Canis lupus familiaris: one gene and its partners. The main gene of each other region encodes a partner of the protein of the gene in region 3 in a complex. Links are inferred from orthologs where the notes say so. Each region holds a gene or a part of one and is shown on either strand. Other genes may lie near its edges. The genes, in order: ANP32E, UXT and RUVBL1.

Region 1 (3,651 bases), on a different chromosome or scaffold from region 3:
TTGCCTTTGGCTCAGGGTGTGATCCTGGGGTCCTGGGATCGAGTCCTGCACTGGGCTCCCCAGAGGAAGTCTACTTCTCCACTTCTCCCTCTGCCTACATCTCTGCCTTTCTCTGTGTGTCTCTCATTCTCAATAGCTAATTGCTTCTCCAGATTTTTAAACAAAATATGGGGACACTTGGGTGGCTTATTGGTTGAGCGTCTGCCTTTGACGCAGGGTGTGATCCCAGAGTCCTGGGATCGAGTCCCATATCAAGCTCCCTCCATGGAGCCTGCTCCTCCCTCTGCCTATGTCTCTGCTTCTCTCACTCTCTCTGTGTCTCTCATGAATAAATGAATAAAATCTTTAAATATATATATATATGGTTACATTAACTGATTCACATTTTTAAGCCTTTTTTTAAATTGAAATATAGTTGACACACGATGTCACCTTAGTTTCAGGTGTACAACAGGGTGACTCAACAAGTCTTTACCTAAAGCTATGCTCACTGCCAAGTATAGCCATCATCTAAGCCTTTAGTTTTTAATATCATTTTAGATAATATCCCTCAATAAAAACTCTGCTTTCACCAAAGGCTTATTCAGTAGAAACTATGGTCTCTTCCTAACTAATGGGAAATCCATGTTTCCTCACTATACTATGTATAGTACAGGAGCACCACTATTTCCAATTCTTCTAAAGCCTCCACCCCCATTTTTAATGAAGTGTACTACACAAACATAAAGTCCATCTTTTTACATATTAATTCCTTACCTCTGAAGAGTAACTGAAATAAAAAGAATACTCAAACCAAAAATAGCTAATCAAATCCCATTTCTATCTCCTTCTACTTTCTTTCTTGAATCTTGATAGTCTCGGAAGCTTCTACTGACTCTCACCTTCTAAACATAAGGTTACAACACAACTAATTAAAAATATTAAAAACAGGGAGCCCCAGTGGCCCAGTGGTTTAGAGCCGCCTTCGACCTGGGGTATGATCCTGGAGACCTGGGATGGAATCCCACGTCAGGCTCCCTGTTTGGAGCCTGCTTCTCCCTCTGCCTGTGTCTCTGCCTCTCTCTCTCTCTCTCTCTCTGTGTGTGTGTGTCTCCCATGAATGAATAAATAAAATCTTAAAAAAAATTAAAAAATAAAATAAAATGGTATCAGAGAAAAATTATCACTGATCAGGGATATTATCTAACCAATGTAAAAGTCCTTAGGAGAACAAATAAGAATACTAATAATTTCTAGTCTAAATTAGAGATATATTTTTTTCGGCTTTATTTATTTATTCATAGAGACACAGAGAGAGAAAGGCAGAGACACAGGCAGAGGGAGAAGCAGGCTCCATGCAGGGAACCCGACGCGGGACTCGATCCCAGTTCTCCAGGATCACACCCCGGGCTGCAGGCAGCGCCAAACCACTGTGCCACCGGGGCTGCCCTAAGTAAGAGATATTTTTAATAAAAAACTCTGAATTATGCAAACAAACTCAGTAATTTAAAAACATTAGGAGGAAATAGTAATTCCCAGGGGCAAAAGATCATTTATTCAAGTCAACTGACACTTCCTGTGAGCTTACTATGTCCCTGTTAATGTACTAGACACTGAGATATAAAGACAGATGACCCTCCCTTTATGGAACTCGCCATCTAGTAGAAAGTAGCCAAGTAAACAAGTTTTTACAAAAGTATCTATGAGCAAGAGAAGACTAACCAAGATTCAAAGGTAACGAAGGGGGATGCCTGGATGGCTCAGCAGTTGAGCATCTGCCTTCGGCTCAGGTCCTGATCCTGGAATCCGGGATCGAGTCCCACACTGGGCTCCTTGCGGAGAACCTGCTTCTCCCTCTGCCTATATCTCTGCCTCTCTCTCTCTCTCTCTGTTTTTCTCATAAATAAAATCTTAAAAAAAAAAAAAAAAAGGTAATGAAGGAAGGAGTATAAAAAATTATAGATAAAGTTTCAATAATGAGGCAACTCCAGAACTGAGTCATGATTTGGGTGGTAGTCATACAAGTATACACATAAGTAAAATGTGAACTTGTACATAAAATCCGTGCACTTTACAGGCTTTAACTATATTTATGTTTACCTCAGTTAAAAAAAAAAGCATTCATCAGAGAGCATGAGTAGCAAGTCATTTCAGATTAAGAGTAAACAATGTATCTTCAGACAGAAAGGCAAGAAACAGCTTAGTGTGAGGATTTAATTTAAAATTGAGGGGGATCCCTGGGTGGCGCAGCGGTTTAGCGCCTGCCTTTGGCCCAGGGCGCGATCCTGGAGACCCGGGATCGAATCCCACATCGGGCTCCCGGTGCATGGAGCCTGCTTCTCCCTCTGCCTGTGTCTCTGCCTCTCTCTCTCTCTGTGTGGCTATCATAAATAAATAAAAATTTTTAAAAATAAAATAAAATAGAATAAAATAAATAAAATAAAATAAAATAAAATAAAATAAAATAAAATAAAATAAAATAAAATAAAATAAAATAAAATAATAAAATAAAATAAAATAAATAAAATAAAATAAAATAAAATAAAATAAAATAAAATAAAATAAATAAAATAAAATTGAGGGAGAAGAGGCTAGAGAGGCAAACAGGGACTAGATAGTGATGGGTCTTGTATATATTTTGGTGGCAACAGGGAAACATTAAATTGTTTCAAGCAGGGCAGTGATATGATCACATTTGCATTCAGACTAAGCAAGCAAGCACAGACTGTGAAGGATACACCTAAGTGGTGACACTGTATTTAAGAGGCCATTTGGAAAACTACAACAAAACCATAAACAAAAAATAATTAGAGGGAAAGTGTTGCTGAGGGCCTACGATGTGCCAGGGACTAGATAATTTACCTATATTCTCTTGTTAAACCCTGAAAAGAGCCTAAGAGGTTGATATTATTTTCAGTTCTATAAATGCAGAAGCTGAAGCTCAGAAACTTTTGTAAAATGTTTCCATGAACCCTGCTGCTCTGGGCAGAATGGATTTTCAAGATACCTAGGTGGTAAAACCATAGGTGCTTATGATGATCTGTATACAGTTTTGTTTTTTTTTAATATTTTATTTATTTATTCATGAGAGACACACAGAGAGAGGCAGAGACACAGGCAGAGGGAGAAGTAGGCTCCATGCAGGGAACCCGACGTGGGACTCGATCCCAGGTCTCCAGGATCACACCCTGGGCTGAAGGCAGCGCTAAACCGCTGAGCCACCCAGGCTGCCCTAGATACAGTTTGAGCCAGGGGACAGTAGGAAAAATGACAGATAGACACGCTCAGACCTGCAAGTTAGTAACAATTTTCAGATTTCTTCACAACTGAACTATTTATAGACCTTGGCTTTATGCCTAAATAATTACTTTATTTAGTAATAAAGAAATGCCTATTCACCTGGATTTCTTCTTTCATTAAATATGATAGGCCCACTTCCTCTTCTCCCTCTCCCAATTCCGAGCCCGCTTCATCCTCATCCTCATCCTCATCCTCCTCTTCTTCCTCCTCTTCTTCTTCATATTCTTCAGGTGGACCAGCTTCATCTTCTTCCTCTTCATCATCTTCATCTCCATCTTTAAAAATATTTTAAAAGATGAGTGAGTGGCTGAGCAAATGTTTCTTGCTAGTACTTTAAGCCTATCTGCCCTTGCCCCAATCACTTCAAACTCT
Region 2 (3,751 bases), on a different chromosome or scaffold from region 3:
GTATGCTCTCTCTCTCAGATAAATAAATAGAACCTTTTCTTTAAAAAGTAAAAAATGCTTTATGAAATGTAAGTTAGTAGATTTGCACAGACCTATCTTCAGTTCTTCAGAACTCTGTGTTGTTTTGTGTTAAAGATAATAAACATGGGGGGATCCCTGGGTAGCTCAGCGGTTTGGCGCCTGCCTTCAGCCCAGGGCATGATCCCAGAGTCTCAGGATTGAGTCCCACATCGGGCTTCCTGCATGGAGCCTGCTTTTTCCTGTGTCTCTGCCTTTCTGTCTCTCATGAATAAATAAACAAAATCTTTAAAATATATAAATAAAGATAATAAACATAACACCTCTTTTTTTCCCCATAGGAAAATGGTATAGATTAACTCAATAATAGTTGTCTAACTACCTGGTGTCTATTTCAATCACACGAAATGTAACTTTAACTATATGTAATATTTGAAGATTTACAAAAAAACATTTTAAAAAATTACATGTCCTTTCCAATCATCTTGTTCTTAGGGCAAAGAAAAGCTTGACTTGCTTAGGTTTTGAGCATTTGAAAGAAAAACTTGCCTTTACACACAAAACACACAAAGTATCTGAGAAGACATCACTGGCATGAGTGGGGGCTCTCGGCCCTATAGGCAGGCATAGCATTTGAGGGATTTGGTATCTGTGTTCTCCTTCAGGCTCAGCCAAGACTTGCTGGGTATGATGCTATTATTTGAAAATGTAACATGGGAAATAAATTCATTAACTTGAGTGCATACAAATAAATAAAAGTTTATACATTTAAATAAAGACTCAGGAACATTTCTAACTACAGAATAGCCGATCTTGAGCAGAGGACTTCAGCGACCCGCCACCTGATGCCTCTATTAGACGAGGTAATAGACATAGTGTTTTGTCAATATCTGCTTGGATCCTAGTTATGGATGGCAGGTTGCAAACTGGAGTTACCAAAGCTGAGTTTCAGAGAATCTGTCTCCGTTTAAAAAAAAAAATTTAATGCTCACATTCATTCCCATTACTGGGAATCAAACCCAAATCTCCCGTGCGAAAAATCAAAATCCATGGCGACAGTTCCCGGGATGTACTCTCCTTTTTACAAACCAGAACCATAACCAATTCTTGCCCGTCTGCTTCCGAAGCTCTGACTTTTAAATACTACACGCTTCTCTCTCGCCACCTGTGCGCCCCGCCTCCCCCAGGAACCCGCCAAATCCCATTAAGGCCCGCCCCCGCGAGCCACGCTCAGTCCCCACAGGCTCCGCGCTGCCCCGTTCCCACGCTGCGCGGCCGGGAGTACACTCGGTGGATTCCCTAAAGCCCCGCCCTCCTCTCCTCCGCTTCGCCCCTTTCCAGCCCTTCAGAACCGCCTTTCCCACCCGGCTATTCGGTTGGCCCGCGCCCTTGTGGTACGTCATTCACCCGCGCCACCCGGAAGCCACGGTTTATAGCAACCGTTCTTATTGCCGGCGGCTCTAAGGTGAGGGCCGCGTTTGGGTGTCCCTGGGTGGCAGAGTCCCAGAGTTGGGAGGGGCAGAAGGCGGAACCCCGGCCGGAGCCGAACGAGCCCACTCCCGCTGTCGAGGGGGTGCAGATGTACTGTGCCTGAGGCCAAACTGTGTGGTCAACGTGGTGTGCTCCGCTCCCCATTCCTTAGGAGCCCATCATGGCGACGCCCCCTAAACGGCGGGCGGTGGAAGCCACGGGGGAGAAAGTGCTGCGCTATGAGGCCTTCATCTGTGACGTGCTACAGCAGGACCTGCGGTGAGTGGCAGCGTGGAGGGCCGGGCGTGTGGAAGGTTCCACGTGGGGGGGCGGGGCGTCCAAAGTCAGGGTCTAGCCTTCTGATTGGTGGGAAAGGCATTTGGAGTCCAGCCCCGTGCGCCGATCCGGCGAGGAGGGGCGACATCCGGGGTGCTACTGGGCTGGGATGTGGCGGTTCTTGTAGAGGGTGTGTCCGCGCCTGTCTGGCCTCCCATCTCACTTAGCCGTGGAGCTAGATTCTAAAGCGGGAGTTCTTAGGTTCGAATCCTTGGCCTGGCCCCTTCGCCATCTGTGTGAAGACGTTGTACGCTGCCTCGACTTTGTGTGCCTCAGTTTTCTTATCTGTGAAATGGGAAAGTTCATGGAACCTTCCTCATGGGGTGGTTTTGAGTTTTTAATGTGTTCCCCCCTTGTAAAGGATTTAATGTGAATACTAGGGGCTCTATGAGTATGAAAAATTGTTACTATCACTATTAATCTGAGCAGGAAGTAGAGTGTTCAGAAGCAGGATAATGAACATCCTGAAAGGGATGGAAGATTTTTCTAGGGTGAGAATGGGACACTTTTTTTTTTTTTTTTGAGAATGGGACATCCTGATTGGACGGAATGTGGTAATAGTACTAATAAATAAGAGCTAAAACATATATAGAGCTTAGTTTTTGGTTAGGTGCTATTGTAAGTGCTTTGTAGTAAACAGTTCTCTTAATGACTTTGTGAGGTAATACTTGTCGTCCCTTTTTTAAAGATAGGGAAATTGACTCCTAAAGAGAAAATGAGTCCTAAAGAATTTGCTGAAGTCACACAACTAGTAAAAAGGAGAGCCTAGATTCAAACCCAAGCAGTCTGACTCACAATTCAAATCAACTTCTGCACTAAAATGCTTCTTTAAGGCATGGTGACATGAGGGTCTCAGTCATAATATGAGGTATTCTGACAGGTCCAGGGCTTCCTGTTGGTCACCATTTTCCTCTTGTCCCATCAGAAAAGTGCTGGACCATCGCGACAAGGTATATGAGCAGCTGGCCAAATACCTTCAACTGAGAAATGTCATTGAGCGGCTTCAGGTAAAAACAGCCAAGGTTAGGGACCATTTTGATGTGTTTGGGCAAGGGAGGGGGATGGGAGGAGAGACCCCAGACCAAAACCTGTCAGCTGACCTGAAAGGTGACCACTGACCCCTACCTCTTTTTCCCTGGCCCCACAGGAAGCTAACCCCTCGGAGTTATATATGCAGGTGGATTTGGGCTGTAACTTCTTCGTTGACACAGTTGTGTGAGTGTCTACCTGCCCCTCTGAGCCCACAGGGCTCAGCTTCCCCCTTCCTTCATGCAACAAATATTTTTTTTTGAGTATTTGCTATGTACCAGACACTGTGCTAGGTGCCGGGGATGTGACAGTGAATCGAATAGGACAAAACCCCTGCCCTCTCAGAGCTTCTAATTTGGGGAAGGTGGGAGGAGTGGAGTAAAAAAAAATTGCCAATAAACTGTATAGTATGCTAAACAGTAATAAAGACTTCCCCCACTTCCTCTAACCATTGTTTCCTCAGCCCAGACACTTCACGAATCTATGTGGCGCTCGGATATGGTTTTTTCCTGGAGTTGACACTGGCAGAAGCTCTCAAGTTCATTGATCGTAAGAGCAATCTCCTCACAGAGTAAGTCCATTCTATGAAGTGTCTAAAATACCACCATTTGCAACATCCTTTTCCCTTTCCCCATGGCTCTCTGAGATGATAGATACTTAAGGGCCCATTTCTCCTCCTCCCCAGGGCTAGGGCTGAGGAAAGTAGAGATGCAAAGCTCAGCCCCAAGAATAGCACATAGGAAGCACTCCATAAATGGTCTTGATATTGCTCACTCACACACACATTTGTTGGCTGTTCTATGCCAGGTTCTGTACTTGGCAGTGGGGAGGCCACAGTGAACAAGACAGAAGGGTTCCTTGAAGGCCTAATCTTGACCAGATCCAGAAGGTTTTGGCC
Region 3 (3,651 bases):
AAAGGGCTCAAAGAACACTCCTGCCCTACACCATTAACACCCAGAGAATCCCAGGCTTGAGCCCGCTGCTTGGAGGGAAGCCACAGAAGAAGCTGGCTAACTCACGGCCAGAGGCTTGGCTGGGATAAGAAACAATACACATGAAATCATCTGTGACTAGAGCATTTGAATTGGAACAAAGGAGTCCCTCAGTAGCTCATGTCGATGTTAATTGCTGAACATTACAGATAGAAAAGGACCGTCTGCCCTAAGAAACGGCAGCAAGACTCTGACAATTCATTCCCAAAGCTTCTGTGAACACACAAAAGCGCTCGTGTGCCAGGTCATGCCGGCATCGAGGCAGTACCTGGGGCCGTGCGTTGGCCACGTCCAAATCATGCAAGGTCACATCCTGGATGATTTCTTTCTTCTTATGCACATCGCCCTTTGGCAAGGGGACATATTCTTCAGCTTCAAGGTCGAATTCTGTGGCGTAGGTATCACACCTGCCCTGCCTCTGCAGAAAGAGAAACCTGAGTGCCGGGTGAGTGTTCGCTGCCAAGTCTCCAAATGGCACAGTGCTAAGTGAGATAAAAGCCTCAGTTCCCAACTGCGGGCCTGACAGCCTCCTTGACAAACTCCAAACACACCCCACACCCCCGCTGCCAAGAGAAGGAAGCTATCTGCTCATCACTGGGCTCCAAAAACCCAGTTGAAAAACACCTGATACTTTCTCCAAGAATCTCTTCCCCCCTCTTTCTTTTAACTGTATGCAATTCCTGATAAAGGGCAAATCCAGTAGATTAACTGGAGACGGAGGGAGCCGTTCAGACTCTTTTGTAGGTAGGTGATTTATCGTATGATATGAAGTATTATGCTCATCCATTAAACAGTGAGGAACACTGTACAGGACACTGAAAATCAGATATAAAAAGAATGCCAACTAATGCAGCATTCCTTCCACATGCATATATCTTGGGAAGAAAATACCAAAGAGATAAAAGGAAGATTAAACGCACTGCACACTTCAATTTGAAAATGACTACAGTTGTTCTGCTTTCTCACGCAGTACTCCCCCTCTAAACAAGCTTTAGTATTTTTCGAACAGACTGTCTGTTTTAATCATGAGAAGGTTAAAGAATGAAGATAAAGGGAAAGCAAACTTTATTCAACATAAAGGGGCAACTGCTGACCTTCCCTCAGCATTGCACCAGACACCAGCCTCTCCTCGCATCCCATACTCCCTGAAGAAAGCACCCTCCCCTTGTCACTTAGGCCTCCTCATGCAAACCAGGCATGGTGTTACCTTCACAGCCCCACTGTTGGCTTCAATGTAGATCACATCTCCAGCTTCTACTCGCTCTTTCTGCAAACTTTCAAAAATGCTGGGGTCCAGCTTAAAAGAAAAAACAAACCCAAAAACATTTGACCCAGAGAACTGTAAAATACATATAATATTTATTTCCGACATACTGTAAAGTACCTTTCCACAAGAGACTTGAGGTAGCTAATGACTGTATGGAGAAAGTGTATTTGTGTGGGAGTGAGTGGAGCAGGAGTGGGTGTATAGGTATGTGTGTGTGTCTGTGGATGTGTGTGTGTGGATGCAGGAGATGAATAGCTTTGGGGATGTGTCCTAGAGACAGCAGGAGAGTGAGTGCACCCAGGGTGAGTGTGAGGGGAGACCTACTATCCTCTTTCCTTTTACTCCTGAGGTCGCAAACTGGCAAATATGGCTCTGACTGCTTTTAGGTGAGGCCCACGCTGTCTGTGAGACCACAGGCCCTAATAACCCCTTTTGAGATTGCTCTCTGCTTCAATTCTTCTCCTCCACTCCTCCTCAGGTAGGGGTAGAACTTCCTGCATGTGAGGCACCCAATGGAACCTGCTTGCTCTTCGTGGTTGGAACTTGGTGGTCCTATGATTTTGGACAAGGCTCTCTGAGCCTCTGTTTCCTCATCTGTACAACAGCACCCAGGTGTAAATATCCAGAGGGAAACACAAACCAGGCCTTTTGATTCAAATCCGTGTCTGCTCTCTGGGGCCTGCCTGCTTATACCTTCAGGAAAGGAGAGGAGCATGTTTTGGGGACCGTTTCTTTTCCCCTGTCTAAATTCAGCTACCCTTGATGTTCAGTATTCAAGGACAGCCATCTTTGGTCAGGAGTCAAGATTTAAACATAAGTTTCTCTCCATAAAACTTCATGGAGAGCTATTTCCCTTAGTTAACTTTATATTTTATAATGTGAAAAAAACGGGCTTTGTCTCAAACAAAATTAAAGAGTAAAAACTAAGAACTCCGTGAAAGAAGCCAGACACACAAAACCACATGCTGTATGACTCCATTTACATGAAATGTTCCGAAAAGACAAATATATAGAAACAGAAAGTGGATTAGTGGTTGCCAGAGGGTGTGGGTTGGAATGGGCACTACTGTCAATGGGCATGAGGTTTCTTTTGGGGTGATGAAAAATGTTCTAGAATTGGACAGTGGTGCTAGCCATACCATTCCGTAAACAGATTAAAATTCCTTCCTAAAATGGGTGAATTTTATTTAAAATTAAATTTCAATAAAGCTGTTGGAGACAGTAACCACAGGAATAAACCCAGAGTTCTGTGTCACTGGCAGGGTAGGGTCTGGCAGCCTCCCAGAGCAGCACAAGGAACAGTGTTTGGTAAGCCCCTGACGCAGGGCCTAGAACAAGGAAGGCACCTGATAATGATGGCAAGTATGATATTCTCTTCATAAATCAGTATCTACACCAAGTATCTTAGCTCCATTTGTCCAAATATCTTGTGTTTGTGTGTGTGTGTGTGTGTGTGTATGTATGTATGTATATATATATATACATACACACACACTCAAAGTAGCTAGAAGTACTCATTTGGGAAGGAAAAAAATTCATCTTCTCCCTTATGTTATTTTCTTGAAGAAACTGTGCAAAGAAGCCTGATGGAGAGCTGAAATGTAAATGTAAACTGCATGCCTTACTTCAGCTAACTTACACTGAGGAGTATTCTTTTTTTTTTTTTGCCTCAAGCATTTTAGTATTGGTTAATTTCCCAAATGAACTGTCTGAAGATGTAATTACTGGAAAGGTGGCAGATCCTACCAAGAAATCTAATTAATACAGAATGGGAAAAATGAGGGGGAGGTTTAAAAGAGGTATTTGCAGAGGCAAGCTCCTGAGATGGAAACCCTGGTAGGAAAAAGAAAAATGACCCTCTGAAGAAGTGACATTTTTATGATCTCCATAAAGCAGTGACCAAGAAACCACTTTACAGGATCAAAGAACCATAAAATCATGGAGGAGAGCAAAGATGGAGAAATTATATAGTCAATCTACCACAGTTCACAGATGGGGAAACGGTGGCCCAGAGAGCTCAACTGACTCCCAAAGATCACACAGCAAGTGGGAGGGTGAACAGCATAATGGCTGGGACTCAAGAGAATCCTGTCTGCCACTTAACCAGCTGTGTGATCCCAGGATAAGCTCCTGATGAAACCTCAGTTCCTTTATCTGTTACATGAGGGAAACTACACAAATGGCACACATACATGTAGAAAGCTATAAATGATAACAAATGAAATATTTAAGTATTTGCCCAGGCCTAGCACATCCAATAAATTAAGAGCTATGATGCTATTATAATTATTATGACATTATTTATT

The links.
Region 1: RUVBL1 (region 3) and ANP32E share a complex: the UniProt entries of both Homo sapiens proteins name them as parts of the SWR1-like complex. The link is inferred for Canis lupus familiaris from reciprocal best matches to the Homo sapiens genes RUVBL1 and ANP32E.
Region 2: RUVBL1 (region 3) and UXT share a complex: the UniProt entries of both Homo sapiens proteins name them as parts of the PAQosome complex. The link is inferred for Canis lupus familiaris from reciprocal best matches to the Homo sapiens genes RUVBL1 and UXT.

The regions. Positions count from the first base shown.
Region 1 is NC_049238.1:60,124,592-60,128,242, forward strand, and holds part of ANP32E (acidic leucine-rich nuclear phosphoprotein 32 family member E), read right to left. Parts: intron 3,555-3,651; coding exon 3,379-3,554; coding exon of another isoform or gene 3,349-3,378; exon of another isoform or gene 3,334-3,348; intron 1-3,333. UniProt on the Homo sapiens protein: Histone chaperone that specifically mediates the genome-wide removal of histone H2A.Z/H2AZ1 from the nucleosome: removes H2A.Z/H2AZ1 from its normal sites of deposition, especially from enhancer and insulator regions.
Region 2 is NC_049260.1:41,480,345-41,484,095, reverse strand, and holds the start of UXT (protein UXT), read left to right. Parts: upstream 1-1,323; 5' UTR 1,324-1,483; intron 1,484-1,660; 5' UTR 1,661-1,669; coding exon 1,670-1,767; intron 1,768-2,749; coding exon 2,750-2,846; intron 2,847-2,971; coding exon 2,972-3,039; intron 3,040-3,316; coding exon 3,317-3,424; intron 3,425-3,751. UniProt on the Homo sapiens protein: Involved in gene transcription regulation. Acts in concert with the corepressor URI1 to regulate androgen receptor AR-mediated transcription. Together with URI1, associates with chromatin to the NKX3-1 promoter region.
Region 3 is NC_049241.1:2,142,792-2,146,442, forward strand, and holds part of RUVBL1 (ruvB-like 1), read right to left. Parts: intron 1,376-3,651; coding exon 1,286-1,375; intron 497-1,285; coding exon 347-496; intron 1-346. UniProt on the Homo sapiens protein: Possesses single-stranded DNA-stimulated ATPase and ATP-dependent DNA helicase (3' to 5') activity; hexamerization is thought to be critical for ATP hydrolysis and adjacent subunits in the ring-like structure contribute to the ATPase activity.